Linked DNA regions of Arabidopsis thaliana. The protein of the gene in region 1 interacts with the protein of each later gene in a pairwise test. Each region holds a gene or a part of one and is shown on either strand. Other genes may lie near its edges. The genes, in order: VAMP723 and AT5G10290.

Region 1 (16,031 bases):
GCTTGTGATTTCCATTTACACAGATATGCTAGTATACGTGGAAAATACATTGTTCTTTCTGTATTTGGCTTTTTCTAAGTAGCACACTATTGGACATATTGCAGGACATTTGCTGCAGTTGGTGTTGACCCTGCAATCATGGGTATCGGTCCAGCAGTTGCCATTCCTGCTGCAGTTAAGGCGGCTGGTTTAGAACTTGATGACATCGACTTGTTTGAGATCAATGAGGTATATAGCAAACAATTTCATGATCTTCTTATCACATATCTCTTCCCGCACATTCTGATGATGACCATCTGTTTGAATCCTTGTGTGTTCAGGCATTTGCATCTCAGTTTGTTTATTGCCGTAACAAATTGGGACTTGACCCAGAGAAAATCAATGTCAACGGAGGTGCAATGGCCATAGGCCATCCTTTGGGCGCTACAGGTATATCTGTTAAGAACAGGACTAAAACTGTTAAGCTTGTTCCAATTTACCAAACCATAGAGACTTGAATTAATGAGAATCTCTCAACTCTCAACCAAACCTTAAGAAATCCACAGCCGAGATATATCTTTATAAACTCTGTCCTCACTAATGGTTCTTTAACCAACTTACAAGAGCTCTATCTTGCCGCAGTCCGTCCTTTTCAAAGCATATCAATGTCTACATTGTGTCTATATAATTATAAAACGCTCATGAACAGTTGCTAATACTTGTTAAAACTCTCACAGGAGCGCGTTGTGTTGCTACATTGTTGCACGAGATGAAACGCCGTGGTAAAGACTGCCGTTTTGGAGTAGTGTCAATGTGCATTGGTATGCTTCTCACTCGAATAATTCATTGTGAATTTGGTGTCTGAAATATGTGTCTGAGGGATGGTTTTACTGATTTGGTAAACTCTGGCAGGGACGGGGATGGGTGCAGCAGCTGTGTTTGAGAGAGGAGATGGAGTTGATGAGCTTCGCAACGCAAGGAAAGTTGAAGCGCAAGGTCTTTTGTCCAAGGACGCTCGCTAGAGAGGACCATGCACCAAAACCGTTTTTCACCTCACCTCTCTCTTTTCTGGTCTTCTTGTCACTTTCTTCAGATATTATTATAGTTTCGAATAAAGCACACAACCAATGTTTGCCTGAGTCTTGTGTTGTTCTTGACCAGGTCATGTGTTTAGTATTTTTTTTAAGTGAAGGGGGATAATCTTTAAATCTTTTATATGTAAGAATATTGTTCTTCTCGAATTTCATCAGTTGTTGCTTCTAGAAATTTTAGATTTTTTGGGTGGCAGCCATTTCTATATTTCGATGGATAAGTCAAACGTTCATAAAGTCAAGGGTTCTGCCTTTTGTTTGTGTTTCATGATTTTACCTTGAATTTCATTAACTAAAACAGTGTTAATAGTAACAGTTGGGGTGGTGGCGCAGTTGGCTAGCGCGTAGGTCTCATAGCTACTGAGTGATCCTGAGGTCGAGAGTTCGAGCCTCTCTCACCCCATAATTTTATTTTCTCATAGCTATTTATATAACGTTCCTTCTAGTATTTTTTTTTCTTTTCGTTATAGTATCTTGTCTTTGATACCGGAGACGTTATAACGGCAGTATAAGACGTTATAATCATGTTCCAATGCATCCCCTCAGTTTTGTGTTAAAAACGAGCCATCAATGTTATCATATATGGAAATCATTATTGAGGCTTTGACCAATTAATTATGCGAATTGACCGACTTTGATCACTATACAGAGCAAAACAAATCCACTGAATCATTTATTTGTGTAGGTTCATCTTTTTTGGGCACCGTATTCATTTCTTATTCCATGAATTTGACGGAGTAATTTTGATTTTCTTTTTCGAGTAAGAATCTGGTCAAATATTCGATGAACCTCTACAAAAAAAATTAACCTCTATAAAAGTGTAGATTAACCAAGTGTTTCATCACAAACCATTTCAACGTAAACGAAACAACAACTACTACTCTCAACTTTACACTCTCTTGATAAGTCTCGATGATGAATAACATGAAGCTCTTGATCATCGCTGTGATGATCATCTCGGCAGCTTTGCTTCCAGCGCTTGTGGTCGGATCTCGTCCGGTAAAATGTGACAATTGCATGGACGGTGGAGAAAAAGAAGAGATCATGAAGATGAGTTCAGGTGTAGATGTGAGCCATAGGATACTTCAAGCTAAGAGATTTATAGATTACGAAGCATTGAAGAAAAACTTACCAGCCAAACCAGATGGTAAACCGGATAAACCGGATAACAAATACCGACGTGGTTGCAGTGCCGCTACAGGATGTTACCGCTTTACAAATTAAACATAAACCACCTCTCTCTTCTTCTTCTTCTTCCTTTCGTTGGTGTGTTTTATTTTATTTTTAATTAGTATTTCCAATCACATTTCTTATTATTATATTTTATTGCAATTTGTAAGCCTTTGAGGCATTATCTCCTAGAGAGTTAGAATAAACTTCGTTTAGAAATTGTCATCCTTTTCTCACCAAATGATTGACGAGTGAAAATTGATCTCATCGTAAAGTATTTTTGCGGTCAAGTTCAAACAAATTGATCCCTTCTCTCGCACCATATTCTTGTTTTATTTTATTTAAACGATCGATATATTTCCAAACCATTCCTCCAAAACTATCACACATTCACACCTACCAATTTCAACTTTAAATACAAAATATAGTCTTGTTGTAAATATAAGATACACTTTAGAAGTGTACACGTGAAATTCAGGTATATATATTACAATAGTAAGCAACCTCTAAGTACAATTAAATCAAGAAAAAAATAGATTTGAATTAATAGGAGCGGACATGGGATGCATGTAGAATTGTAGATTATCATTTATTATGGTGACTAGACCATTGAACTTTCCTATAACTTTGAAAATATTCTTATTTAGTCATTTAATTTAGATTACACCAAAACCCCAAATATGCCAAATTTTCTACAAATACCCCAAAAAAGACAATTTATAAAATTATTATCCAACCACATGTAATAATCTTTGATGACTTTTAAGTTTTAAATTTTAATAGTAGATTTAGATAATATAGGAACCAATTATTCAAAGGTCAAAGTTCAAACTAGCTTATCCAAATTCATTTTCGCTGATAAAAATACGTTGAAACTATCAAATAACAAAATACCATTACACCAACATCACCAACTTTTTAAAACCCCACAAGTTGATTATTTGAATTTGCTTTTAGGTCCTCAAGTTCAAGATTGTTTCAATTTGCACAATCTGCATAAATCTTTCTGAAATATAACTTTTTTGCCCTCTAAAACTCAAGGGTTTGATTTTTCTTCTTCAACTACGTTAAGATTTCTCCTACACTTTTCTTTTTCACCGTATTCTCTTTTAGTCCTCGATTCTCTACGCGTTTCAGCGTCAAGTCTTCTAGATCTCTAAAGCCTTCGTGCTCGCCAATATAAATCTCTGAGATCGGTCCCGTAAAATCGGATTCGCGTCGTTTTTGAGTAAAAAAAATGGCGCAACAATCGTTGATCTACAGTTTCGTCGCTCGTGGTACCGTTATCCTCGTTGAGTTCACAGATTTCAAAGGCAATTTCACATCAATCGCTGCTCAGTGCCTTCAGAAGCTTCCTTCTTCTAACAACAAGTTTACCTACAACTGCGATGGTCACACGTTCAATTACCTCGTCGAAAATGGATTCAGTGAGTCAAAATATTGCTCGATCTGTAAGCGTAGCTTGTTTGTGTTTTGATTTATCCATTGTTTGAATTAGATTTTTTGCCTAATTGAGAAATATGAATCGAGTTCTTATGTTTGGTATAGTTTCCAGTAATAATTATGTATTGGCGTTGATAATTAATTGATGTTAGATCTATGGTAATCAGTGATATTTTTGGTGGATCTATCAATGAATATTTGCAATTTTTGTTCTGGATCTATTGATTCTTTGCTTATTTGCGTGTAGCTTTCGATATCATGAAGTTTTTGGCATTAGTGTATTGTGTTCTTTATGTAACTCTGTTTTACTAAACCTAATTGGGTTTTGGGTGATGTTGATGGCGGATATGGTCTCTTTATGATAGTGTTAACTTTCTTATCAGCGATATATTGATGAATCTATTGCTTTATCTCTTAATATAGAGTTTAAAATGGACCGGTTTTGTTTTCGTTTGTGCAGCCTATTGTGTTGTTGCAGTTGATTCTGCTGGGAGGCAGATTCCTATGGCTTTCTTGGAACGAGTTAAGGAGGATTTCAACAAGAGATATGGTGGTGGAAAGGCTGCAACTGCTCAAGCAAACAGCTTGAATAAAGAATTTGGGTATGTGTTTTTTGATCTCTTTGATTGGTATTGAAAAGGGTCTATGATTCATGGGCATAGTTATTGATGGACTTCTTTTTGGCTTCTCTAAAGGTCGAAACTGAAAGAGCATATGCAGTATTGCATGGATCATCCTGATGAGATTAGCAAGCTTGCTAAGGTTAAAGCTCAAGTGTCTGAAGTTAAAGGTGTTATGATGGAAAACATTGAGAAGGTTTGATTCTGACCCTTTTTTCTTTTTATCGATATAGTTTTATGTTGTAAACCTTTTCGAACAGAGTTCAGCTTGTATGACTTTAGTACCAGGATCTTATGATTCGTAAAGCATAAACTGTAGAGAGGAATGTTTTATTCTCGGTTGTGAAGACATATTCTGTTGTTAACTCGTTTATGCATTCGTTTGCAGGTTCTTGACCGTGGTGAGAAGATTGAGCTTTTGGTTGACAAAACAGAAAACCTTCGCTCACAGGTTTGTTTTCTAAATGGTTCAAAGTCAATAGACCCACACAGAGACATGCAAGAGTTTGCAGCTTTCTCTTACTGATTGTTGTTTCTTGGGTTTCTAACTTTAAATTTGAACTCGACTTTATCACAGGCGCAAGATTTTAGAACACAAGGAACTCAAATGAGAAGAAAGATGTGGTTTCAGAACATGAAGATAAAGCTCATTGTCCTTGCAATTATCATTGCCTTGATTCTCATCATCATCCTCTCAATTTGTGGGGGATTCAACTGCGGTAAATAAGTCTGGAACATTTCTTCCCGGCGTTATCGACTGCGCTCTGTGCTTCCCAAGATCTCTGAGAATATCTTCATTCAGTTCGTTGTGCTACCTTTTTGTTTTGTTTTTGTTTTTGTGATTTCTATATTCTCATACTATATGTTTCTTCTTAGATTGTACTTCTTGAAATTTGTTTTGTATAGGCTATATATATTATACATATATGTATGCATGTTCGACAATCTGCAATGTTGCTATTGCTGGTACTGACACTAATTCTTGCAAACCAATATTTGGACGATACTTGTTCTTGGCAATTTACTAATTTCTTTGGTCTGTTGATGAGACTCTAGTTGCGGATTGCAGTGAGGTATAAGCATAGTCCACAGCCGGTTAATATTAAATGGAGATGAATATGTAATTAACACGGTTTCGTCTGACCGATTCACCAGAGTCTCCGGTTAGTTCATTAAGGGTTTGCTCAAACGCTTTCTCCTCTGCTTCCCTAATTTCGGAAACATTCGCCTGATTTTCTGAGATTTTGGAATTTCTTCGAATTGATTGCCATGCTGAGCTCAAGATTTCGACTGCTGAAATCGAGGCGACTTGCGGAGCCACCTCCGGCTGATGTCGCGGTTATGTGTATTTGCAGGAAATGAAAGTGATCTCCTTATTGCGGCAAATCAGCCACTTCCTGTCGACTAAAACTGTGGTGCAGCATGTAAGAACAAATGCAAGTTCGGACAAACGTGTTGTCTTGGTCAGTGGTTTTACTTGGCTTAGTCTTCGATTCTCTACGCGTTTCAGCGTCAAGTTTTCTAGATCTCTAAAGCTTTCGTGCTCGCCGATATAAATCTCTAATATCGGTCCCGTAAGATCGAATTAGATTCGCGTCGTTTTTTAAGGAACCAAAATAATGGCGCAACAATCGTTGTTCTACAGTTTCATCGCTCGCGGCACCGTAATCCTCGTCGAGTTCACAGATTTCAAAGGCAATTTCACATCTGTCGCTGCTCAGTACCTTGAGAATCTTCCTTCCTCGAACAACAAGTTTACCTACAACTGCGATGGTCATACGTTCAACGACCTCGTCGAAAATGGATTCAGTGAGTCAAAATATTGCTCGTGATGTGTTTGTGATTGTGTTTTCGATTAGTCGATTTATTCATTGTTTGGATTAGATTTCTTTTTACCTAATTGAGCATTTGAGAATCGAGTTCTTATGTTTGGTATATCTCTATGACTTATCTGAGTCGAGTTCTTATGTGTTTACCGTTTGGTATAATTTCAGGAATAGTTATGTATTGGGTTTGATAATTAATTGATGTTAGATCTATAATCAGTGATATGTTTGGTGGATCTATTTAAGCATCTATGCAATTCTTATTATGAATCTATGATTCTTGGCTTCTTTGCGTGTAGCTTTTGTTTTCATGAATTTGGCTGGTTTTTCAAATGAGAGTTGTTTGGGAAATTTGTGGATATATATCGCTCGAGTAAATTGCATTGGTGTATTGTGTTTATTATATTGCTCTGTTTTAATTAAACTTAGTTGGGTTTTGATGACGTTGGATATGGTCCATATCATATGGACTCTTTATTATATTTTTTAAGTTTCTTATGAGGGATATGTTTGTGCAGCCTATTGTGTTGTTGCAGTTGATTCTGCTGGGAGGGAGATTCCTATGGCTTTCTTGGAACGCGTGAAGGAGGATTTTTATAAGAGATATGGTGGTGAAAAGGCTGCAACTGATCAAGCAAATAGCTTGAATAAAGAATTTGGGTATGTGTTTTTTGATCTATATGATTGGTATTGAGAAGTTTGTATTATTCATGTCAATGACAGACTCCTTTTTGGCTGCTCTAAAGGTCGAATCTGAAAGAGCACATGCAGTATTGCATGGATCATCCTGATGAGATTAGCAACCTTGCTAAAGCTAAAGCTCAAGTGTCTGAAGTTAAAAGTTTAATGATGGAAAACATTGAGAAGGTTCGATTCTGACCCTTTTTTCTGTTAATGGTATAATTTTATGTTTTAATCTATTTCCAGTAGAGTTAAGCTCGTATGAGTTAAGTGTCATGATCTTTTGGTTCCTTAACCTTTAAATTGATGAGGGGAATGTCCAGTTCTGGGTTGTATAGGCATGTATGCTGACCGTTTTTACATTGTGGAACACATTCATTTGCAGGTTCTTGCCCGTGGTGTGATATGTGAGATGCTGGGTAGTTCAGAGGTTAGTTCTCTTAGGCATATGGTTCTAAGTTCCATACACATAGATATGCTTGAGTTGCCAGTTCTCTCTTACTAATGTTGTCTTGGGTTTCCAACTTTTAATTGAACTCGAAACTGTCACAGTCACAGCCGCAAGCTTTCTATATAAAAAGAACTCAAATGAAAAGGAAGAAGTGGTTTCAGAACATGAAGATAAAACTCATTGTCCTTGCAATTATCATTGCCTTGATTCTCATCATCATCCTCTCGGTTTGTGGGGGATTCAACTGCGGTAAATAAGTCTGGAACATTTCTTCCCGGCGTTATCGACTGCGCTCTGTGCTTCCCAAGATCTCTGAGAATATCTTCATTCAGTTCGTTGTGCTGCTTTCTTTTTGTGGTTTCTAATTTCTAATTTCTGCTATGTCCTTTCTACTTAGGTTGTACATAAATATTATACATATATGTATGTCCTTTCTTCTTTGAAATTGGTTTTGTATAGGCCATATATATGTATGAATGTTTTTGCTATTACTGGTACTGACACTGATTCTTGCGAACCAATACTGTGACGAGATTTAAATATGTAATTGGCAACTTACAAATTGCTCTGGTCTGTTGATGTCTTAATGAAGGCTCTAGTTGCGAATTTGCAGTGATGGTGATAACGGTGTAACATAGCCTAGATTGGAGACGAGTCTGTTTGGTCTGACCGGTTCAGCAGAGTCTTTTTTTTTTTTTCGTCCTTCAGCAGAGTCTCCGGTTAGTTCGTTTCTTTCGTTGCTGCCACATCACCTCGCTCGAACCTTTCTCTTCTGCTTCCCTAATTACGGAAACGATTCGTCTGATTTCGATTCTTCTAAACGATTAGTCGGCTAGCCATGTTGAAGACGACGCGCTCAAGTTCTCGACTACTGAAATCGAAACGACCTGCGGAGACACCTCCGACGCCGGTCCGAAGGCTTCTGGACTGGAGGTGATTTGGCGTCTAACCGATGGATAGCTGCGACTGCGATGCATTGTTAAGGAAACAGACAGAGATGAGTAATCCAAATGCACCTGTGACCTGCTTTGGTATTGTTTCTGATTCCCCTCCTATGTGAAATTCAATGCTTGTTAAATTAGGGAAATTTGGTAAAGCTAAACCCTTGGTTTCTAGCTTTAGAGTCTGATATTGTATTAGAGAGAGTGTTTTTATGTGTATCTTTGTTATCATTTTCGATGATTTGATCTATCTAGTTTTCTCACAATGTTATACACAATCTTTTAACCATTGATAAGCAACCTTCATTGAGATAGAGAGAGGCAAAGCACAAAGAAAGGAGATTTCAGAACTCAAAAGATTTCAGTTTTAAGTTTTCCTTATAATAGAAAAGGATCTATTAACCGTTGAAATTCTAAAGCTTTTACATTTCCTTCCAAACTCATTCCTCTGTTTTCTTATTTTCCTCTTTTCCTAAATCAGGTTTGTCAAAAAAAAATAAAAAAAAATGGGTTCAGTTTCTCTCTGAAGAAACCAAACGACCCAAAACAAGATAATTCCATAATTGTAATGGCTTCAAGTCCACCCAAGAAGACCTTAAATTCACAATCTTCTTCCTTAAGCCGGCCTCCACAAGCTGTCAAGTTTGGTCGCCGGACGTCCAGTGGTCGCATTGTTAGCCTCTCCCGTGACGATGACATGGACGTCTCTGGTGATTACTCCGGCCAAAATGATTACATCAACTACACCGTCCTCATGCCTCCAACACCTGACAACCAACCTGCTGGCTCCTCTGGCTCCACCTCGGAGTCTAAAGGTGATGCTAACCGAGGTGGAGGAGGAGGAGACGGGCCCAAGATGGGGAATAAGCTGGAGAGGAGATTGTCTGTCATGAAATCAAATAACAAATCAATGTTGTTGAGGAGCCAGACGGGAGATTTTGATCATAACAGGTGGTTGTTTGAATCTAAAGGAAAATACGGTATTGGAAACGCGTTTTGGTCAGAAGAGGATGATACCTATGATGGTGGCGTTAGCAAGTCCGATTTCTTAGACAAGCCATGGAAACCTCTCACGAGGAAAGTTCAGATCCCGGCCAAAATTCTTAGTCCCTACAGGTGATTGTTTGTTTTCACATTTTAAAACCCCTCAAGATTTTCTGCTTCTTTTATTGATGTCTATTACAGAACATCAAAATCTTACAATTAGTCCCCTTGTTTCAGGTTATTAATCGTGATTCGTCTTGTGATAGTCTTCTTCTTCCTTTGGTGGCGTATTACGAACCCTAATGAGGATGCAATGTGGTTATGGGGACTATCGATAGTCTGCGAGATTTGGTTCGCTTTCTCTTGGATTCTTGACATTCTTCCGAAGCTAAACCCTATAAATAGAGCTACTGACCTTGCTGCCTTGCATGACAAGTTTGAGCAGCCCTCTCCGTCAAATCCCACTGGTCGCTCTGATCTTCCCGGTGTTGATGTGTTCGTTTCCACGGCTGACCCTGAGAAGGAACCGCCTTTAGTCACTGCAAACACCCTTCTCTCGATCCTTGCTGTGGATTATCCAATTGAGAAGCTTTCTGCTTACATTTCTGACGATGGTGGTGCAATTCTCACCTTTGAAGCTATGGCTGAAGCTGTTCGTTTTGCTGAGGTTTCATTTCCGCTTTCTCTCCCTCTGTATCTTAACTAGTCTATTAGATGGTGGCAAAAATCTAAATGGTTTTGAATTTTGTTTGCAGTATTGGGTGCCATTTTGCAGAAAACATGATATAGAGCCACGGAACCCGGATAGTTACTTTAGCATTAAAAAGGACCCAACAAAAAACAAGAAAAGGCAAGATTTCGTCAAAGATCGTCGTTGGATCAAGCGTGAGTATGACGAATTCAAGGTCAGGATCAATGGTCTTCCAGAACAAATCAAGAAAAGAGCTGAACAGTTCAACATGAGAGAAGAGCTCAAGGAGAAGCGAATTGCCCGAGAGAAAAATGGGGGTGTATTGCCGCCAGATGGGGTTGAGGTGGTAAAAGCAACGTGGATGGCTGATGGTACGCATTGGCCAGGGACATGGTTTGAACCTAAACCTGATCATTCAAAAGGAGATCACGCCGGAATTCTACAGGTATGAACCATCAACTTCATTGATTTCAAGTAAAACCATGAAAACTTGTCAAACTTGACATAATGTTTTGTAGATCATGAGCAAAGTGCCTGATCTTGAACCGGTGATGGGCGGACCGAATGAAGGCGCGCTAGATTTCACAGGGATTGATATTCGTGTACCTATGTTTGCTTATGTCTCGCGTGAGAAACGTCCAGGTTTTGACCACAACAAGAAAGCCGGCGCTATGAATGGTATGGTTAGAGCTTCAGCCATATTATCCAATGGCGCGTTTATCCTCAATCTGGACTGTGATCACTACATCTACAACTCCAAAGCTATCAAAGAAGGAATGTGTTTCATGATGGACCGAGGTGGTGACAGGATCTGTTATATTCAGTTTCCACAACGGTTCGAAGGAATCGACCCATCAGATCGATATGCAAATCACAATACTGTCTTCTTCGATGGTGAGTTGTTACATTGATTTGCAACACAGCAAAATTGTAATGCTTATGTTACAAGCCACCATAACTTAAACATTATTCCGGTTCTGAAACAGGTAACATGAGAGCATTAGATGGGTTACAAGGTCCTGTCTATGTTGGAACAGGGTGTATGTTCCGAAGGTATGCTCTCTATGGATTCAACCCACCTCGAGCCAATGAGTACTCAGGCGTGTTTGGTCAGGAAAAGGCTCCAGCTATGCATGTCCGGACTCAGTCCCAAGCATCCCAAACGTCCCAAGCGTCTGATTTAGAGTCTGATACACAGCCTCTTAATGATGATCCAGATCTTGGTCTGCCCAAAAAGTTTGGTAATTCGACCATGTTCACAGACACTATTCCAGTTGCAGAGTACCAAGGACGGCCTCTAGCAGATCACATGTCGGTTAAAAACGGAAGACCACCTGGTGCTTTGCTCCTGCCACGACCTCCCCTTGATGCTCCAACAGTGGCTGAAGCCATCGCTGTCATTTCTTGCTGGTAACGTTTTGAAAAAAGAGATATGCTCTGTTAGTATAAATGGATATGTAGTTAAAAATGTTGAGTTTATTTGGCCTTTCAGGTATGAAGACAATACTGAATGGGGAGATAGAATCGGATGGATTTACGGGTCGGTCACGGAAGACGTGGTGACAGGTTATCGTATGCATAACCGTGGTTGGCGGTCCGTTTACTGCATCACAAAACGTGATGCTTTCCGTGGCACAGCTCCAATCAATCTCACTGACCGTCTCCATCAAGTTCTCCGTTGGGCCACAGGCTCTGTAGAAATCTTTTTCTCCAAGAACAATGCCATGTTCGCCACCAGAAGGCTCAAGTTTCTCCAGCGAGTCGCCTACCTCAATGTCGGGATCTACCCTTTCACTTCCATCTTCTTGGTCGTCTATTGCTTCCTCCCTGCTCTCTGTCTCTTCAGCGGAAAATTCATCGTCCAGAGCCTCGATATCCACTTCCTCTCCTACCTTCTCTGCATCACCGTAACCCTAACCCTAATCTCACTCCTCGAGGTCAAATGGTCGGGAATCGGACTGGAAGAATGGTGGAGAAATGAACAGTTTTGGTTAATCGGAGGCACAAGCGCTCATCTTGCAGCAGTCGTTCAAGGTTTGCTCAAAGTTATAGCCGGAATCGAAATCTCCTTCACCCTGACATCGAAAGCCTCAGGAGAAGACGAAGACGACATCTTTGCGGATCTTTACATTGTGAAATGGACAGGCTTATTCATCATGCCGCTTACAATCATCATAGTCAACCTTGTTGCGATAGTGATTGGAGCTTCGAGAACAATATACAGTGTGATTCCGCAATGGGGCAAGTTAATGGGAGGAATATTCTTTAGTTTATGGGTCTTGACTCATATGTATCCGTTTGCTAAAGGATTGATGGGTCGAAGAGGAAAGGTTCCAACGATTGTTTATGTTTGGTCCGGGCTTGTGTCGATTACCGTCTCGCTGCTTTGGATCACCATTAGTCCTCCAGATGATGTTTCAGGCAGTGGAGGAATCTCAGTGTAAATTTGGATCAGAATGTAAAAACTGAGGATTTTTAACTCTATTTTTTTTTGTTTGTAAAAGTAATTTTGGTTTATGTAAATTTATGTTGAAACAGACCAATTCTTGCTGTACTTCGTGTTAGCTTTTGATACACACCGTTGTTACATGGAACAGAAACAAACAGTTTTTTTTCATTAGTCCCATGGCTTTTATAATCTCTGTTTCTTCTTACAGAACAGAGGATCAGATTAAGAGAGAACGAAAAGAGAGAATTTTCAAATATACTATATTTGACGAAACTACCCTTGTTGGTCATGAACGTTGAATACCTGATCTGACAGATTTACCCTTCGTGGAACTTGACAAGAAAAAAGGAAATTAGTATCAGCCGACGTTGTTTCGTTGCGTGGACCTGAAGGAAGCTTCCTTTAATTTCCTTTTTTCGTTTAAGTCTCCACTTTTTACGCTCTCTATATAATATCGGACACTCTACTTCTCTCGTTCCATAATTCGATAACCAAATTTGAGAGAGTGAAACCCTAATTAGATAAGAATGGTAGATCACGGTATGTTCTACTCCTCCAGGATGAGTACTCTTTCTTCCAACGGAAGAGGCGACGCTTATACTTGCAAAAAAGCTCTTCACTTGACTCTGAATAAACCTAATGTTGTTAAAGCATGTTCGGATTTGAAGAAGAATGAACATCAGATATCTCGTGATTTTGCGGCAGAGACTAAGAAAAAGACTGAGTTTTTGGTGTTGAAGAAGAACAACGATGAGAGATCTAAGACTGGTGAAGTAACTAGAGAGAAGAAGCAATCGGCTCTACCTCTGAAACTTTCTAAAACCCCTAGATCTGGAACGGGAGAGATTAAGCAAACTTTGAAGAAGCGTGGCCTTTCCAAGTCTGTTCCAGAAACATCGAGGCTGATCAAGTTGAAGAAGCAGCCGCCTGTGAAAGTATCTGACAAACCTAAGAGTTGTCCTGTCTTGACGAAGAACGACACGGATACGTTGGAACTGTTCGAGATCGCCAAAAAATCTGCTGATTTTGCCAACGCAAAGGGAATACTCGCGTCTGAAGTAGAGACATCAATGTGTGTAGATACCCTCACTCTGCTCTTGGAGTTTCCCATCAGCGCAAGAGATATGGAAACAAGGAAGCTCATGGTTAGGCTAGAGCATCTTACAAAACACAAGAACCGAAAAATATGCAATTCTGCTTCAAAACTTCTTCAATGTTGGAGGGAGAGTATCAGAGAGCAACAACTCAGAGAGTCCCGTAAAACTCAAGGCTAAAATGTCACTAGGGAATTGAAAAGGTTGTAACTTGAAAACGTTGGTTGGTTGCTTATTCTTTTGCTTAAAGTAGAGTATTGTAGTCACTAATTCAATTACATTACTCAAACCCTAACAGTGAGAGGAATATGTATGTATTAAGGATTTTCACAATCTCTCTTAGCTTTGTGTTATTCAAGTTCAGTGTGTATTTCTTCTGTTTAGGCAATCAATGAAATTAGAGTTTTGTTCTGAAAATTTGTTTTCAGTTGTCGATTGTAACTGAGAGACAATAAGTCAATACTTGAGAGAGTTTCTCATTTGCATAATGGTTTTCCAACATAAGCTCAAAGATCTTCTATTAAGAGAATCCATGGAACTAAAAAAGTTAAGAAATCAACAGTAATGGTTATTAGTTTTCTATGCATTTGTGTCTTTATTCGGAAACAGCCCTCCTGATATATCGAGCGGACTGTTTCAAGAGGTGATGATAAACACTATTCTCCATTGTCAGAGCAGAACTATTTTCCTAAACTTACAGTTATCTCGGTAGCAAACCTTCTTGGGGAGACCATATGGCGTGTTCATCATGATTCCTCTGTGAGTGAAGGAAGATAAACAATACTTCAAATGCAATTTTTGTTTTAAGAGAATATTTGGGTCTAATAAAGCTTTTTGATATTCTCAGGGAGCTTTTGAGCTATTTTCCTCTGCTTTTTCCCACTCCTCTGTTTCATATTTGTATATGACATCAAGAGATAGATATGTACGTGTATGAATGTAACTATTGAAAATTCATCATTCCAACATTAACCATAAAAGTAACTACTTCATAACAAGACCAACAACGACTTGACATGCATTCAAAGATCAAAAGCAAAACCGAAACAAACCAATTATCTTAACAAGCCAATCCGGCTTGTATGAAGCGATGACTTGAGCTATAGCTAATCCAAGCAACAGTCCAGTCCCATATCCTGTTGCCACTGCTTTCCAGTTCAGCACTTGCTCCTGTTCTTCGTCTTCTTCCTTAGGTTGTTGTGTTGGCGGCGCATTCTTTCCAGAGCAAGTTTCCTCCAAAGGAAGACCACAAAGCCCTGCATTCCCTTCAAAGGAGGATTTATGTTGCCCAATAATCTGTGTTCCTTGTGGTTTTCACCCTTGAGTTTATTGTGAGATACATTTATGTATGCCAAAAACGAGAGGGTCTTGAGTCCATTAGGAATAGTCCCAGAGAGTTGGTTTCTTGACAGGTCTAATGACTCGAGCTCAGTAGCATTGGCCAAAGACAGAGGAATATGGCATGTAAATGCGTTGTTTGATAAATTGAGTGCAATGAGTTCCTTCAAGAGACCAATAGATTTAGGAATCTGTCCTTCTAATCTATTCCCAGAAAAATCAATGGCACTGTAGGAGTTGAGGACCATCTGTTGCTCCATGGATAACCCTTTGTATTTCATATCTATAGTATCCCTATACACATACGAATCTATACCGAATGCATTATTCTTGTATACCATATATAAATCTCCATCTTCATTCACCGTGAGTGATGATGTTTTCCAGTTCACAAAGTATCTTGGTGACAAGGTTCCAGTAAACATATTATCAGCTATCTCAAATATCCGCAACTCAGGAAACGCGAGAGGACTTTGATGAGGAGGAGCTATAGGACCATACAATTTGTTTGAACTTAGGATAAGGACTTGCAAATTTGGTAAAGCCTTGAGCCAGAAGGGAAATGTGTCTTTGATTCTGTTGTTGTCAACGCTAAGAAACTCTAGAGACGAGCAGTTTAGGAGAGATCTTGGAAGCGTCCCAGATATTAGATTGAAGCCAATGTCGAGTGTCTGAAGAGAGTCCCCGGCACATAATGTGTCAGGAATACTTCCTTCCAAATTGTTCTTTCGAAGATGCACAAACGTCAAATTACTCAGACATTGAGGAATTTTACCGGTGAAATTGTTGTAAGGTAGAGAAAGAGCAGCAAGAGAGCTTCTGTTGCAGATTGAAAGAGGTATCTCTCCTGAGAAATTATTATAACCCGCAGAGAAGGCTTTGATAGAGAGTGGTAGATTAGGAAGTGCCCCTTGAATATTGTTTGAATGCATAAATAATATCTCCATTGATGAATTTACTAAAACATCTGTTGAACCTTCGAAACCGTTGAAAGAATTATTTGCAAGACTCATTGATCTTAGGCGAGGAAGTCTCCATAACCACTCAGGGATTTTACCATTGATTCTATTGTTGGACATGTCTATATACTCCAACTTCTGAAGGGTCTTTAAGATGTTTGGAAACTCTATGATGCCGCATTGCTCCAATAGCAACTTCTCAAGGGTTAGTGGGATGTATAAATCTGACCTTAAACTTCTCGGAGATATACTGTTACCGGAAAGATCGAGGTATGTTAAAGATTTGAGAGAGGAGAAGAGGTTTAAGTCGAGTG
Region 2 (17,613 bases), on another chromosome or scaffold:
ATTATTACATATAATCGGTGGCAATAGCAGAGAGAGAGTCAAAGAGTTTTTGGGGTTTGGAGAGCATCACCATGTGATCTCCGCCATCGATCTCGTAGACTTTCGAGACGTTGAAATTATCAATCATCCAACGAATGAAATCGCAGGGGATGGCTTTGTCTTCACTACTCATTACGTAAACTCGTTGCACCGAACCATATCCTTCCTCGCTAAACTTTTCTTTCTTTGATAGATCCTCTGTGAAAAATGACCCTTGCCTATGCAACATTTTTGCCAGCTCGTAATCCTTCACAGTGTAACCATCATGTAACCACACACCAAAACTAATTAATAATCATCTCATACGATGATTCATATTCGAAAACTTTAGCACATAGTTTGAATATAGATTTTGTTGTTTTGGCGTAACAAATTTTAGAGATTTGTGGGAACAATACCTCTATGGGACAATTTTGGTAAAGACGTGCCTTCATGAATTTTGGTCCCATCTTCAATAAACTCATCGTCCCATTTCTTGTTTCATGAGATGAAAACTCACAATCTCCCAAACCTCCAGGCATCTCCATATACTTTATTATTATCATCAACCAAACCAAGAATTATTTTCATGGTATTAAGATAAGTTGGTCAAATTATAAAAAACTACTAGTATCAAAATTATTTTTGTTATTTTATTGTTAACCTTGTCCAGAACGTGAGAAGGCACGTGGGTTGTGTCGGGCAAGAAGGCGTTGAGGAACACAAGAACCTTAATCTTCGCCGGAAATATGTCGGCGGCGAGAGCGATGTTGATGCCTCCGAAGCTGAATCCAACCAGAATTACCTCTTCGTTCTCTGGAAGAGATTTGAGGGTTTCGATCAACGGTTTGGAGTATTCGTCGACGGTTTCAACGGCCTGGATTGGTCGTGGGTCGATCCCGGAGGCGGCGAGTTCGACAGCAGTAACGCGGTGGCCGGCTGATTCAAGGAGGGGCTTGAGCTTGTACCAGATCCAGGCTCCATGATAAGCGTTGTGAACTAACACGAAGTGATGTTTCCTCTCCATATGTCTCCGTAGACGTTTTCTTTTTGGTTAAGGTTCTTTGCTTGTTTGAGAATAGCGTGATAAAGTTGGGATATGAGTATGACGTTATTATTATATAGTGATAGTGGGATAAGGTTCATATACGTTACGCTGTTAATAACTTCTTATGTTATGACACATGTTCAGATTTACTAGTCTCCTCGGTCGGCTGTTGTATACTTTTGTATACTTGTATTTAGATATATTTTAAATAAATAAAGCAGAATTCTGTAATCACACTTAGCTAAATTACATTAATTTTTTTGGACATTTAAAAAAATATATGAGTACATCACAGTTTCAATCTAATAACGGACCAACACATGTAAGATTTTGACATCCGCGATTAGATGGACGTAAAAAAGGCTTAATTAACGGAACTAATTGAACACGATAAACACGTGCCTGTTAAGTGTTAACCGACCTAATCTTCATATTGATCTGAGAATCTTCACAGCTTCCCTTCCTTCTTTGAGTCTAGCCGGCCCATGGGCCGTGAAACACTGTGACTGTGACTCTCTTTTATTGACTCATTTTAACCTTTTCCTTTTGCCTTTTGGTACCAATTTTTAACTTTTCCTTTGTACAGGGAGATTCGCTTCCTTTTTTTAGGCTGGCCATTTCGTCTTAGTGAGTGGTGTATAGTTGGCCATTTCAGTCAGCTGTATTATAGCCTCATTGTCAATGATGTCGAAAATCATTCCTCAATTTACACAATGGTTGTCAGGTAAAAAACAACGAGAGTTGATAAGTAGATTTAGGAGGGAAAAAAGAAAAAGACAATTTAGTTAGTCTTCTTTTACATCCACGTAATTAAATAGCACATCGTTCCAAACATCATTATCAAAGTTCATTAGTTATTTAGGGAAATTACAAGTTGCACGGAGAAAAAGCAGTTCGTGGACCAACATTGGACTTTTCTTTCAGACAAAGGCCATTAGCGAGCGAGAGTGATAATTGCGAAATTGCCAAAAAACGCAAAGTCTACCACTAGACAAGAAAATCGAAGCTTTTCACTTTCTCTTTTTTCTGTTTTGTTGTCTTTGGTTCTACTCTCCGCACTGAATCTTTCGATCAGCGATAATTGTTTCCTTCTTTTGGGATTTTCTCCTTGGGTACGAGGTTCTTTCCTTCTTTTATTTGCTCTGTTTTTGAGATTTGGAATTGTTATCAAGTCTGACAAAATTGGTCACTAATCTTTCTGGGAAATTGAGCATGTTCGTGTTCTTGCATCCGTTTGACTCTTTTTCTATGCAAAGTCTCAACCTTTCAATAGTGGAATTTATTCTTATCCCTAATTTCTCTTTACCAGACCTATTTTTAGCTAAGTTTGGTTGAATTTAGAAAGTCTTTGATTCATAGTTGAAGAGATTCTCTCCATTAATCTTTCTCTGTAATGTGTCAGATCCACTAAAAGTAAGTAAGAAAAAGATTTTGTTGTAATGTTATTAAATGTGTCTTTGTAGATGGAACCAGCTCAATTAATGAGATGAGATGAGAATGTTCAGCTTGCAGAAGATGGCTATGGCTTTTACTCTCTTGTTTTTTGCCTGTTTATGCTCATTTGTGTCTCCAGATGCTCAAGGTGATGCCTTTTCTTACTTTTCAACTGCTATTTTGTTGCTCTCATTTCTTGTTTCGTTTCTGGTAATTTCTGAGCTTGTTCAGGTTGAAGATTTAACTCTATGATTCTTTGCTTTTCCATTTTCAGGGGATGCACTGTTTGCGTTGAGGATCTCCTTACGTGCATTACCGAATCAGCTAAGTGACTGGAATCAGAACCAAGTTAATCCTTGCACTTGGTCCCAAGTTATTTGTGATGACAAAAACTTTGTCACTTCTCTGTAAGTTTAATGACAACTCTGAATTAGTCAATGTTGTTTCCATGTGAGAAGATTTATATTCATGTCATTTGTGATTGCAGTACATTGTCAGATATGAACTTCTCGGGAACCTTGTCTTCAAGAGTAGGAATCCTAGAAAATCTCAAGACTCTGTAAGTGCTTTAGATTGAGTCTCTCTTTTTGTCTGAAATCCTAGAACATAGATATTAGGTTGTGAGCATTTCGCTACCTTCTTTTTATATATAGTACTTTAAAGGGAAATGGAATTACGGGTGAAATACCAGAAGACTTTGGAAATCTGACTAGCTTGACTAGTTTGGATTTGGAGGACAATCAGCTAACTGGTCGTATACCATCCACTATCGGTAATCTCAAGAAACTTCAGTTCTTGTAAGTAGTTCCGCCTCACAATGCTGTTAAATCTTGCACATGTTTTAAAACATTTTTAAGACGTAGAAAAGGATTACTCATGTCTTTATTCACTTGTGTGTTGGCTAAACAGGACCTTGAGTAGGAACAAACTTAATGGGACTATTCCGGAGTCACTCACTGGTCTTCCAAACCTGTTAAACCTGTGAGTTACTGTTCTTTGTGTTTATGCTTACCATCTTTCTGGAAGCATCCTTGTCTTAATTCCATTGTTTGAAACTATGTTTACAGGCTGCTTGATTCCAATAGTCTCAGTGGTCAGATTCCTCAAAGTCTGTTTGAGATCCCAAAATATAAGTATGTTTGACTACTTCAAGTTTAATCTAGCATGCTCATTTCTTTAGCAGTAATTTGATCTGTTTCTAATCGACTATAGTTTCACGTCAAACAACTTGAATTGTGGCGGTCGTCAACCTCACCCTTGTGTATCCGCGGTTGCCCATTCAGGTAAACTACTTCACTTTGCGATTGCTCTGACCGCATTTTCTTTATTTTCAACCATTTCAAAAGTATGAAAGACTGAAAACATCTAATCTGCGGTGATAGGTGATTCAAGCAAGCCTAAAACTGGCATTATTGCTGGAGTTGTTGCTGGAGTTACAGTTGTTCTCTTTGGAATCTTGTTGTTTCTGTTCTGCAAGGATAGGCATAAAGGATATAGACGTGATGTGTTTGTGGATGTTGCAGGTCTGTAATATACCCTACAGGGAAACCTTTCTTTCGTATTTCGTATTTCGGTATGTTATGATGTATTGATATGCAGATTTGTGGAACTTTACTATTTTTCAGGTGAAGTGGACAGGAGAATTGCATTTGGACAGTTGAAAAGGTTTGCATGGAGAGAGCTCCAGTTAGCGACAGATAACTTCAGCGAAAAGAATGTACTTGGTCAAGGAGGCTTTGGGAAAGTTTACAAAGGAGTGCTTCCGGATAACACCAAAGTTGCTGTGAAGAGATTGACGGATTTCGAAAGTCCTGGTGGAGATGCTGCTTTCCAAAGGGAAGTAGAGATGATAAGTGTAGCTGTTCATAGGAATCTACTCCGTCTTATCGGGTTCTGCACCACACAAACAGAACGCCTTTTGGTTTATCCCTTCATGCAGAATCTAAGTCTTGCACATCGTCTGAGAGAGATCAAAGCAGGCGACCCGGTTCTAGATTGGGAGACGAGGAAACGGATTGCCTTAGGAGCAGCGCGTGGTTTTGAGTATCTTCATGAACATTGCAATCCGAAGATCATACATCGTGATGTGAAAGCAGCTAATGTGTTACTAGATGAAGATTTTGAAGCAGTGGTTGGTGATTTTGGTTTAGCCAAGCTAGTAGATGTTAGAAGGACTAATGTGACTACTCAAGTTCGAGGAACAATGGGTCACATTGCACCAGAATATTTATCAACAGGGAAATCATCAGAGAGAACCGATGTTTTCGGGTATGGAATTATGCTTCTTGAGCTTGTTACAGGACAACGCGCAATAGACTTTTCACGTTTGGAGGAAGAAGATGATGTCTTGTTACTTGACCACGTATGTATAATCAAATAATCCTACCTCGAAGTAGCTTCTCTCAAGCTTTATTGACCGTAATCTTTTGGATCTTTTTTTTGTTTTGGACAGGTGAAGAAACTGGAAAGAGAGAAGAGATTAGGAGCAATCGTAGATAAGAATTTGGATGGAGAGTATATAAAAGAAGAAGTAGAGATGATGATACAAGTGGCTTTGCTTTGTACACAAGGTTCACCAGAAGACCGACCAGTGATGTCTGAAGTTGTGAGGATGTTAGAAGGAGAAGGGCTTGCGGAGAGATGGGAAGAGTGGCAAAACGTGGAAGTCACGAGACGTCATGAGTTTGAACGGTTGCAGAGGAGATTTGATTGGGGTGAAGATTCTATGCATAACCAAGATGCCATTGAATTATCTGGTGGAAGATGACCAAAAACATCAAACCTTGAGTTTACTGTAAAGTTGCCAACTTCACTTTTTTGTTTTGTTCTTCGGTGAAGAAGTAAAATCAGTTGTATAAATCTTGTTTTTGTTTCATGATGTATCTTTTGACTTTAATAAATTCTGTGAATGAAAAGAACTATGATGTTTTGTTGACTTTTTTCGTTGACCGCAAGAAACCTTTTTGTCGTCTTATACTGTCAGGCCTATTACAAAGTTGTCGTTTATATGGGCCTAATATGGGCTTTTAAATACATGTTTTCTGTCCCAAGTTGTCCTAGTTTTGCCAACTCAATTTATGATTTTTTTTTTTAATTATATCACAAAATAAAGATTTCTGTATTCTCTGACATGAAAATTAATATTTATTATTGAAAAATCGTTGTTTTCATATTTGAATAGAAAACAAGAAGAACAAAAAATTAACATATTTTTAATCATCTCTAAATTGTGTTAGATACAATAGCAATGTATTTTAAAGATTTTTATGTTCATGATCGAAAATATCCAAAAATATTTAAGATTGAAGAATGGATAATAATATACATTATCCATTGACAAAAAAAATCTATACATCATTATCATTTGGATACGGATGAAGTAAATTCCCTAATTGCACAAGATCTTTACAAGCCTCGATTATGTGTCAATTCAACATTATAACAAAATTAATAATAATAAAATAGATTCAATGAGTGATTTTTCTATAAAACCTAATGAGAGATCACTTTATCTGACATCACATACTTAAAGGGCCTTGTCTTTTAATTATTATTAAATCTCTACTTGGCCTTTTTATATTATCGTTAGCCAGCCGATCACATGCTTCTTCACTTCTTCCATTATTTGATCGATCTTCTTGGCAATCAAATCAACATTTAGACTTAACCAATGATATAATGAAACAACTCAACATTCAAGCTCTAATATGTGTTGTTTTAGAGCAAAATACGTGGTCTTTCATATGTTAACATATTTAAACTCTAGTCTCTAGCTTTAATTTGTTTGATTTTCTGCTTAAAGATACACAAACTGCTCTTTGATTTTTTTTGTGTGTTTTCATTCACATAATAACAGTTTGTCTATTATTTGTTATGACATCTATATTCATACATGATCCGAATGTTATCACTTATCACCATGGAAGGAAGTGTAAAACAAAAGATTCAAATAATCAGCAAAAACCCTAATTATTAAATACCATACAACTACAACTACAACTACAAATGATATCCATTTCACAAAAATCTTATATATATATAAACTCTGTGCACAGAGACATATGCTAAAGAACATTGACAACAACATATGCATATGAGTATGAAATCTCTGTACTGTACATTCTACAACATGAGTTACAAATATATGATGTCTCTACAGTATTTATATATATATAGATAGGCAAATAAAAATCTCCAACAAGCACAATTCCAAGAGTAAATTTGATTTGAGTTCCTCCAAAGTACATACCTGAAAGTAAAGACAAAAGAAGGCTAAGGAATGTCGGAAAATATAGAATCATCCAATAGATGATCAGGCCATGCAGCTGAAGCTGAAGCTCCTGATTCTTGACCGCTTGAAGATGTGATATTGCTATTGACATCTTCAATACCGTATTGGTTAAAAATCAGATCATCATTCACATGAGCAGGAGTTGTGCTGGATGGATCCGAGAGCCAGATTGGAGACACGGGTAGGTTTTCTCTTTGAGTGGAGAATTTGAAGTGATTGTCATCAAGATTCTGGGGGAAAACAGATGATGGTTCCATGTTGGAATTTAGGGTTTTCAGGGAAGGTAAGCTGTGGAAGTCCTGAAGATAAGAGCCGAGGAAACCGAGGTCGAGATTGTTGCTGGTGGTATTATTACTGGTCTCTTTGAAAGAGGCAATAGAGTTAAGGAGACTGAGAGTGTCAAAGTCATTAGGGTTAACATTGTTACTCATGGAAGACGGTTGAAGAAGGTATTGGAACAATTGGAGTTTGGCCATCTCGGTTTGGAGTTTGAGTATAGTGTGTTCTTGATCAATAGGAAACTGTTGTTGCAGATCAACAAAGCCTCTCAGGTTAGAAGACAAAGACATGAGCTGAGATAAGCCGGAGAAGATATCGGTTCTTGGACGGTGAGTCATTGGATCAAAACCCATCTGAATCAGCTTCTTCTTCAAATGAGTGTTCCAGAAATTCTTGATCTCGTTATCTGTTCTCCCTGGTAACTGATTCGCAATCGTTGACCACCTTATAACATCATCATTCATAAGCAATCAGTATAAGATAATCTGGTACACAAACAAAACCGTTGACTAAAACATCAAAACAATCATCACAAGATTAATTACTTGTTTCCAAGAACTGAATGAAGATTCAAGATAGTCTGTTCCTCGTCCGGAGAGAATCTCCCTCTCTTGATGTCTGGTCTCAAGTAGTTCGTCCATCTTAGCCTGCAACTCTTCCCACACCTGTTAAGACCTGCACAGAGAGAATCACATGAGAAGCTTAGACTTAAGACAAGCTTTCAAGAAAGAAAGAACACAAAAGCATTACCAGCGAGTTTGGGAAGGGCTCTCCAGCTACTATGACCATGTTTTTGAACATAGTTGACAAGTTTCTCATCTTCATCAGGAGTCCAAGGACCTTTCTTGAGACCAGAGTCATCAGAGATAGGAGATCTTCCCATGTTAGATGATCTTCTCTTCTCTGTATCTAAATCAACAACGGTTTCTTTTTCTTTTCTTTCTTCCTTCTCTATACTGTTATAATTGTCTCTGAGATTTGGTTGCTTGCCTCCTTCCTTCCTTCACAACCACTAACTGCTTCTTATTCCAATTTATATTAAACCTAGCATCCTTTTCTCTTCATGTCCATTCACCACGTGCTTCTTTCCTATTCGCCTACCAAAACAACCATGTCACTTTCACCTTTCAATTCCATTTTTCTAATCATTTTCTTTTATACTCTCACATACGCATTCCTTTACCAGTGTGATAAAAATCATTCAATGTAAATTCTTCCTCTTGTCTTAAAGCAACATCAGTATCATCTCGGGAACAGCCGTCTCCAACGGACAAACACATAACAATCGATTTGTTTTTTGTCTTTAATTGGGAAGCAGTTCATTAGTTGCCATCACTATGCCCTAGTACCAAACCCCTGCATTTGTCAAGAAGAATAACAACAACACATAGTTATTGCTTGGTCTCTTCACAATCCAAAACTCTAGTCTAGGTTATTGAATGGTTCAGCTCATAAAAAAACACAGATCAACTAAAAGCAAGAAGGTTAGATCATCTTTCTTATGAAATCCATAAAAGATCTTCTCCGAGTAGGTGATGATGGAGGAGAAGGGCAATAAAGGATATTTGACAGGAGGGCTAAACTTTTAGGTTGTATTTTTTAATCATTGGAATGACAAATAAAATGAGAAAGAATTTGTGAAATATAGAAGTCAGCGCCAACAACACATGGCAACAAGAGGGTGGCCAAAGAAGAGACATCTCCTCTGGCACGCAAAATTAGGTTTTCCTCGCATCATCCATTTCCATGGCCTATTAGTTTATGCATTTAATATTTCATATTAGCTATATTTTTATTGTATTTTTCTACATACCGATTAAAGCTATGATCAACCAACTAAACAAAACGGAAGGCAATGAACCCTAAGAGCTTGCCGCTGAAAATGAGAATCTTTCAAAAAAGTCCTGAGAGATTATTAAAGCAAGTAAAAGATGTAAAGTGGTCCAATAGTGTAAAAGAAAAAGATGCAGAGTGGGTTTGTTATGACCGTGTAAATTTCTTGTTTGACACATCATGATTAAGTCCATATATAGCAAATTTTAAGGTATTACTTACAGAGATTGCCAATCCCTAAAATGCATTTTTCTAGGAAGAAAAGATACCAAATGAAGAAACCGACAGGAAAAGCATACACTATATCGTTAGAAGAAAACTTGTAAGATTATGTTTTGTATCATTTTGTGGCAATACATAAGAAAACTTGTAAGCTTATGTTTAAAATCATCCTTAATTATTTCCTAAGCGCATTCAATGAAATTTCAGCGAGCAATAGCAATGGACAGATCAGAAAGAATGTCAATGTAAGTCAGGGGCAAGTTTGGGTATAATCAGAAGAAGTACTTACTATTGATGATGGTGACAGGCTTGATATGACAGATTTTGACCACTAGGGAGGAGCTGGTTAGGGGAGAGGTGGGTGCAGAAAATGATCTAAATCTCCACCATCTTTAAAACCTATAAGACTTTCTCCCTCAGCCTAAGTATTGCACCCAATGGCATATCTTGAGCTCTTGTCTTTTTCTTCTGTGTCTTCTATATAATGAAGATCACAGGTTCCGTGCACAAAATTCAAACTGAACGACATAATATCAAGAAACAAAATCTAATTAAGAAATAGAGAAAAATCAAACAAGAAGATGTTTTACCAAATGAGGGCATCAAATCTGTCAGTTTCTAGAAGATATTTTAGTGTATTCAGTAACTGTAGCCTGTAGGTGAAAGTGAAATGTGATACTCTGACTCTCTGAGCAGGTTTTGTATGGATTTGCATTAACATATTTTCACTCAACTCATTTTCTACCTTCACTGCAAATATAAACATACAGATATACATGAAGCTTGACAAACTAACATTGCCTAGAGAACCCAAAAATTATAACGTTCCTTATATATATAGAAGATTATAAAGCCATCTATCAGAAGAGGATTAATAAAAGCCATTATCTTAATTTTATTTCATTATACATTGAAACTCCATGGTAGCATCTGGATGTACACTATGGTTTTCGTTGCATCATATTTGAGCCTACGACTCTAGAAGTATCATCAGACCTAGGTAACAGAAGCCTACAAATTAAAAAAAAAAAGACGAAATAATTCTTACAAAAACTCAATTAAAATTAGGGAAAGAAAGATTATAATTGCTTGTTGAATTAGGGTTCCTCTCAGAGTGGAGGAAGCAGGTGAAGAAAATATTAAAGAATTAAGGAAAGCACTATAGGTTTTTTACAAAAGTATTAATTATGAAATATGTGATGTCACTTAAACCGTTCTTTTCCTCTAATTAAAAAACAACAACAACTTGGTTTTCATTGTCAGCTAAACAACTGAATTGCTTCTTCTCCTAAGTTTCAAACCAACGCGTCTAAAAGCTCGGACTTTCTATGTAACGAATGAAAATATTTAACCCTTGTATTATACCTATATATTGAATGTAAATGTGAAAAGCAAAACTCGAGATCATCTGCAAATATACCTTTAATCAATTTATGATACCAAGCATTTTGCAACCAACTTTTAAGTTCCACAAAATCGATAAAACACAAATTATAAGTTTGTGTATGAGGATTTATCTGCAGTAATGATTAAACTCTTGATACTTACAGAAGTCAGACGAAATTAACCAAGATGCTCGTGATTCGAATATCATCAGCATAGGTTAGGTTCCTGAATGAAATTCCAATGAGTGACGAGAGTGGTGACTGTAAAACCAAGAAGAACAAATATGAGACACACGTGTAACATCACACACGCATGCACACGTATATAAACCTATAATCTTCATGACCATCCTCTTTTTCAACTGTTCATATGGTAGCAATCTTATTGGAATACAGAAATTGGTTTCTATTTTATCTGTAGTAATCAAATTAATGATGGTTACGCATAGTCAAGGATTAGTTTTATATGATAATGATCTAAAAGGCATTAATCTTTTGAAACTCATGTATATTATTCAAATCTGAAAAGAGAAATTAACAAGAAATCACCGGTTCAACATCTTCTTGCTTACTCTTCATTTAGAATAGTAAATTAGCACATACTTTTCTCAACCGTTACGCCCAACATTGCTGGAACATCTGCTAGAAAAAAAGCATCGTCACAAGAAACCTCGAGAACATGACAAATAAGAAAAAAAGAAAGAACAAGAATGTCTACCATTAGTTTATATAAAGTCAGTCAAATATTATATGCCCTAAACTGTGTGGTCTTAAGCGGTATTTTTGTTAACAATCAACCACTAAATGTCATTTTAGGTGGCTGAACTTCTTTTGTCGTGGACATCGTTTTACAGCTCAAGACAGTGAAAGACATGGATGCTAACAACGGAAAAATATATATGTCATCCACGAGCTCTACACATATTGGATGCATTAATAGTATCTATCATTAAGTAAAATGTATCCATATATAAAAGGAAAAACAGATGAAGAGGAATTATAATACGAATAAAGTTTCACTATATGCAAAAAGAAGGAAAACTATAGAGGAATGTGTACCTATACCTAATGGGTCTTTCCTACAAAAAAAGTTGCTCAATGACAAGAGGTAATCTAGCTCGTACTTAGTTAGGTGCATCCGTGCATGTAACCAGTGTGTCAACTAAATCTAGAGGAAGCAATAATTCAGGATTTAAACCATCACAAGTATCTACCAAGTTCAGAACATAGACGAAATCACGAAATGAAAGAAATTATGATTTCACGATGTCATTGTTGACAAATTTCTCTAAATTTTCAAGAATAGAACCACTTCAGAAGATACACTATGAAGTTCAGAAGATTGTTTTACCAGGAAAGCCAATAGGATCACATCTCTTTCTATTCTTGTTCAAGAATTTGCATCTCCAAGACCCTTTTAAGGTATTCATATAATATTTTTTTGAATGATACTTCCTGCCAAGAAATAGATTCAAACAATTAATTTTGAGCCCACTGCATGTATTAGAAGAGAAGGTTACTATAGGATAGCATGTTGTACATTTAGGATTGTTTAACCTAAATTTTGTTAGACCAAATCTAAAAAAGCCCAAACTGAAATCATCATACAGAAAAACCCATGAGCTCAGAGGGGAAGAACTAGTAGCTATCATCAAATAAGAAAGTAGTTTAAAAAAAAAGTTAACTAGGCATCATAGAACAAGCCAGCGATTATGTTTATTTGGGTATATTATATAAACATATATCTTAATCATCAAATTAGAAGAAAGAAAATTATATATATGGGAAATAAACCTACCACTCCTCATCATGGTATATAAGCATCATCTGTCATGCATCTATTGCAAAGTGGTACAGAAAAAAAAGAGTGTTTAGAACTGAAAAAAGGATTAGTAGTGGCTTTATGATCAAGTCGGTTTTGATTGAGTTCACCAAGTTAGTGGTGCCTTCTCACTAAAAGCTTTTTATAGGGATTTTCATCAAAGGTCCACCTTCAGTACATACTAAGACAGATAGGCAATTATTATGGTTGAAAATAATGTATGTAAATCTTTATTAGTTTCACAAATCTGCACTAACATCTAGACAACTTGAACATATATCTTCTTGAACATATAAACTACCTTTTGAAATTTGAGTTTTACGAGGAAAACTAGACGAAGTTAGTGCAAAGTATAAACCAAACAAACAAGATTGTTTACTATAAACCAAAGAAACGAGATTATTTCAGTAAATAAATCTTAAACAAGTATAAAAAGTCCAGCTTTCACTTTGACAAATGGGGGACAAAAAAGGCACAGCTGAATAAAGTTTGTTAACTTTTACCAGTCATGTGATAAAGGTGGAAAGGTAGATTTCTGTCAACTTTTTCATGATTTATGTGCTTGAAAATATGACATTCCCAAGACAGTCCCTTTAACATCACCAATCAATATAGCTCAAAACCAGTGATAAAACCATACAATTTTGAAATACTCTTATCATTGTAAGTTTATATGTGCATGGAGAAACCACATTTGCTTAAATAAAAATTGTATAGAATGAAGTAAAACTAGTTAAAGATTAGACAAAGATATGGGAACTAAAAGCACCAACAAACCTCAGAACCTAAGAGAGGTGGCCACACCACTCGCCGTTTATGTTCTTTGAGTTCATCGTTTCACTCACCAGCAAGCATCAAGCAGAAGACAAAGAGAAAATCTGAAAGACCCTGTAAAAATAACATTGTTGCTTTTAAGAAGGTAGTAGCTAAAGCAAACAGGCTAAAGTGAATTATCTTTTCACGAAAGTGTAAGAGTTTAAAGACAAAACCGGGGAAGCTTTTTGCATGAAAAAGTAAGCCACATGGCCTGACTCAAAAAAGTACGAAGATCTCTGCATGAACATATACGTAAAGAACAGGATACACAATAGAATAATCTTGACAAAAGCATCATAAAAAGCTGTGCGAACTCTAAAACACATGGTTGGGGTTGGTAATTAAGTCAGGTCTTTAAATTGAGTTCCAATAAAGAAAATAAAGCTATCCAGGAGCAAACCTTATAAGTCACCTTTAGATCTGCTCTTTGTCCTAAACCTTTTGTATTTATTCTAGATTAGTAGCACTTAACATTAAGTAAACACTAACCTATTCTTTTGAGCTTCACAATTGTCCCTATCTTTTTCAGAGACACGGAAAAACACAAATTAAGAATTTCATCCAAAAATAATAATAACACTAAACAAATGATGATACAGTTTGAGATGCATGATTAGAATCTGTTAGTAAACTGTAGACTGATGGATGTGAACAACACAACGATTGCAGATGCCAACCACAACTTAAGATAATTCTTACCAAAAAAAAAAATCAATAAAACTTTGCATAAAAGTCTATAAATTTGACGATTTCCACAATATAATATTGTGGGCAGATAGATCTTTCAGAATACCTTTGACTTATACCCTCAGATAGATTATATTAGGTAAATCCTCTCATGGACTAGATCATTGCTAATTTGCTATTTCAACTGTTTAGTTTTCTAACAATTAGGATGATAAAAAATCTGGAAAACTCTCTTGTACATGAAGCAAACATGTGAATCAACACATTAACAAGCAGCACTCAACAACAACAACAACAACAAGACATCAGAATTATTACAACTTAGAATCCTGCAGTTTTGCTAGCTACCCCAAGAGGAGATGAGATACCTGAATTGAACTCTGGTTGCTGACCTTCGATAGCAAACTCCTACAGCTTGAAACTGAAACATGGTAACAGAGGCTTCTCATTGCCAATGTAGACTTAAATATGTGTTGCTTTGCATCATTTATGGACCAGAAAGTGGGATAGTTATACGTGTTGGACATAGAAGTCACAAATGGCTGACCACTCCCTTGAATTAAGAAACACAAGAATAAAATATCACTGAAATCACCAGAATAGTAGGAGATGGTAGAACAACTCCACTACGTAGTCATCATCCCACAGAAGAAAGTAGCTTGGAAGAGGAATGTTTTGGTTAGCTTGAAAACTACACCATCAGACAGAAAAATCAGTAAGTAGGATCATATCTCAACCCCATTGTGGAATATGAACCAAATATGCAAGTCAATTTCTTCTACAGACAGTGGATTGGATGAGAACATTGTTTATATATAGTCTTAACATTATTTTATCATTAGTTCATTTTGAAACTTCCATCAGTCAGATTCCCTATATATATAGTAAGTTCATAAAACTAAGAAGAAAAAGCCTATATATCTTTCATATCATTGTGGACCAACAAACTTAAACAAAACCAAAACATCAACGGATCAAGTTCAAGAAACATATATAGCACATACTTAAGATACTTATCTATCTTTCCCATCGCCCAAGTCGAACTCTAATATCGGTTACAAGAAAAAAAACCTAGCATGATTCATAAGAGATAAAAGAAATATCATCCATACGAAACAAAAGAAGGGAAGATTTATGTATAGGGTTTGATTCAAGTGAATGACCATAGAGAAACATTTTCCTAGAAATCACAAAACCCAAAATTAGACCTACCCACACCAAAATCAAACTTCCGAAATAACCGTCCTTCACCGATGTTAGCATGAAACCTAAATTGAATCGGGTGAGTTAGGAGTTAGGACCAATAGCCGATGTTAGGGTTTGACAATGAGTAGGGAGATAGTGAATCGTGTCTTCCTGTAGGTAAAGAAACCGAGATCTAGGGTTTGGTCGAGATTCGAATGTTCTCGTTCTTCCTTTGAACCAGAATGGTCGTGTACACGGTTAAATGGCGTGATAAGCACGCTAACACTTCAGGAGTAATCTGTTCCTATCGCACCTCTTGTCACAGACGGTGAACCCACTGGAAAACCTAAGTGATTTTCTTAATTTTCCCGCTATTTTTGGGATTTCTCAAATTCGCCTCCAATTTTATTTACGAAAATCAAATTTTATCTCGAGCAGTAAATCTAGGGCGTTCGAGTGTCCACTAGTTTTTCTCTTTCTTTATAATATATCTAAGCTTGAAAAATAAATATTAATCAAAATGTATGAATGTTTACTTTATAGAACAATTAATGTATGATTTTTGTAATTGCAATTTGTTTTTTTTTTTTGTGACTTGTGAGTGTGCTTGGCATTGGCATGTTAAACAATTTTGTTGTCAAGTCTTTTATGATGAGAAAGATACATAAGAAACATAATCCCATAATTCCAATTTTTAAAAAATGGAGTTTGTATTTTAATAAATACTTTTGAAAAGATTATTTTTGTTGTGGTATTTTTGAAAACCGGTCAATAAAAATGATATTTGATATTTCTTTCATTATTTTATTTAAATTTAACGGATGATCGCTAATTTACACCAACCGCTTGTTCAGGGTTAGACCGGTTCAAACCGGACAATTCATAGATTTAAACCGAAACGCTAATTACATAAATAAGCTGGGAAACCTACGGAGAGAGAGTTGTCTGAGAGAAAAGGAAAGCGATCGAGAAAGACGTAATTTGATCATCGGAGTAAAAGATATTGTTCGACAGTGGGACTCCCGGGAACGAAGATGGCGATGGCATCATTCGGGCAGCTAAATCTCGAGGAACCTCCTCCAATCTGGGGATCTCGCAGCGTTGATTGCTTTGAGAAGCTCGAACAAATTGGTGAAGGCACTTACGGGTTATTCACTTTCTCTTTAATTCAATTTCACTCTTTGGTTATTCAAAAGGCTTAATTTTTACTTGGGATTGATAAATTATTGGCCTTTGAAGCGATTTTTGATTGTATGATTAGGCTTTTACAATGCCTATGTTGTGTTGCTTTTAGGAGATTTGATTGTTGTTGTTTTGCTGTTGCAGTCAAGTTTACATGGCTAAAGAAATCAAAACTGGTGAAATTGTGGCTCTCAAAAAGATACGTATGGACAATGAAAGAGAAGGGGTATGTGAATTCTTCACTTTATATGGACTATACGTTTTTTTTATGATGCTCACTATGTTTAGAACAGATGCAAGTTTTTGTTTACGATAGGAATTGTAACCCATTGTTTACAACTGGTATGATGCAGTTTCCTATAACAGCTATTAGAGAGATAAAGATTCTGAAGAAGCTTCATCATGAAAATGTCATTCAGCTGAAAGAGATTGTGACTTCACCAGGTTTGTTTAAGGAACACATATGTTGCACTGAATTAAGTTAGCTATTTCTATATAAAGAGGTCTAAACATTTTGTGTTTTGAATGGTTCTGTCTCTTAAAAGGTCGGGACAGGGATGACCAAGGAAAGCCAGGTTTGTGAAAAAAAGTGATTTCAACTACTGTCTTAGTTTCTGCTTATTGAGGATTTCTTCTTAACTAAAGGTTGTGGCTTTTTCACCTATAGATAATAACAAATACAAGGGTGGCATCTACATGGTTTTTGAGTACATGGATCATGATTTGACTGGACTAGCAGATCGTCCTGGACTGAGATTTACTGTTCCTCAAATTAAGGTATTGCACGGCTAAATAGCTCGTTACTTCTATTAGCCTTTTTCATACTTATTGTTCAACTTTATTCTAACACTCAATCCATTTAAAAGTGTTACATGAAGCAATTGCTTACCGGGCTTCACTATTGTCATGTGAATCAAGTGCTTCACCGTGATATAAAAGGTGATTTTCCTTAATACAATGTTGATGTTTGGTTATCACCTTTACTTGCATATTAACCTAGATTTTGATCCAGGCTCAAATCTCCTTATCGACAATGAGGGAAATTTAAAGCTGGCTGATTTTGGGCTTGCACGGTCGTATTCTCATGATCATACTGGAAATCTTACAAATCGTGTCATCACATTGTGGTATAGGTAAGCCTAAAAATCGTCATTCAAAGTTTACATGATATACATAGATAGTCTTAATATTATGGTCTTTGCTAATTCATTGTTATTACTACTTTGCTGATTTACATATATTGCGGCAGGCCCCCTGAATTACTACTTGGGGCTACAAAATATGGCCCAGCAATTGACATGTGGTCGGTTGGTTGCATATTTGCCGAACTTTTGCATGCAAAACCAATCTTACCTGGGAAAAATGAGGTCAGCGTTTCATCTTTGCTGAAAGCGCAGTTCTTTTGAAAATT

What was found.
Region 2: the proteins of VAMP723 (region 1) and AT5G10290 interact in a protein complementation assay, tested with the Arabidopsis thaliana proteins (one large-scale study listed by BioGRID).

The regions. Positions count from the first base shown.
Region 1 is NC_003071.7:14,032,784-14,048,814, reverse strand, and holds VAMP723 (vesicle-associated membrane protein 723), read left to right. Parts: upstream 1-5,425; 5' UTR 5,426-5,922; coding exon 5,923-6,112; intron 6,113-6,647; coding exon 6,648-6,789; intron 6,790-6,875; coding exon 6,876-6,996; intron 6,997-7,195; coding exon 7,196-7,240; coding exon of another isoform or gene 7,241-7,315; exon of another isoform or gene 7,316-7,362; coding exon 7,363-7,518; 3' UTR 7,519-7,777; downstream 7,778-16,031. Other genes in the region: PKT3 (peroxisomal 3-ketoacyl-CoA thiolase 3), read left to right, coding at 105-228, 321-429, 717-800, 892-1,001; RALFL18 (ralf-like 18), read left to right, coding at 1,983-2,294; SAR1 (synaptobrevin-related protein 1), read left to right, coding at 3,478-3,691, 4,144-4,285, 4,379-4,499, 4,692-4,754, 4,881-5,030; CSLD1 (cellulose synthase-like D1), read left to right, coding at 8,771-9,318, 9,424-9,853, 9,942-10,322, 10,396-10,771, 10,864-11,287, 11,370-12,321; AT2G33090 (Transcription elongation factor (TFIIS) family protein), read left to right, coding at 12,854-13,600; RLP28 (receptor like protein 28), read right to left, coding at 14,578-16,031. UniProt on the Arabidopsis thaliana protein: Involved in the targeting and/or fusion of transport vesicles to their target membrane.
Region 2 is NC_003076.8:3,223,116-3,240,728, reverse strand, and holds AT5G10290 (leucine-rich repeat transmembrane protein kinase family protein), read left to right. Parts: upstream 1-1,920; 5' UTR 1,921-2,178; intron 2,179-2,330; exon of another isoform or gene 2,331-2,529; 5' UTR 2,530-2,557; coding exon 2,558-2,648; intron 2,649-2,774; coding exon 2,775-2,907; intron 2,908-2,987; coding exon 2,988-3,059; intron 3,060-3,153; coding exon 3,154-3,297; intron 3,298-3,409; coding exon 3,410-3,481; intron 3,482-3,567; coding exon 3,568-3,633; intron 3,634-3,712; coding exon 3,713-3,783; intron 3,784-3,882; coding exon 3,883-4,023; intron 4,024-4,125; coding exon 4,126-4,862; intron 4,863-4,952; coding exon 4,953-5,267; 3' UTR 5,268-5,471; downstream 5,472-17,613. Other genes in the region: MES5 (methyl esterase 5), read right to left, coding at 5-286, 438-569, 683-1,045; MYB92 (myb domain protein 92), read right to left, coding at 6,773-7,514, 7,616-7,745, 7,821-7,953; CDKC;1 (cyclin-dependent kinase C;1), read left to right, coding at 16,055-16,167, 16,347-16,428, 16,556-16,646, 16,748-16,777, 16,870-16,979, 17,069-17,141, 17,215-17,335, 17,452-17,569.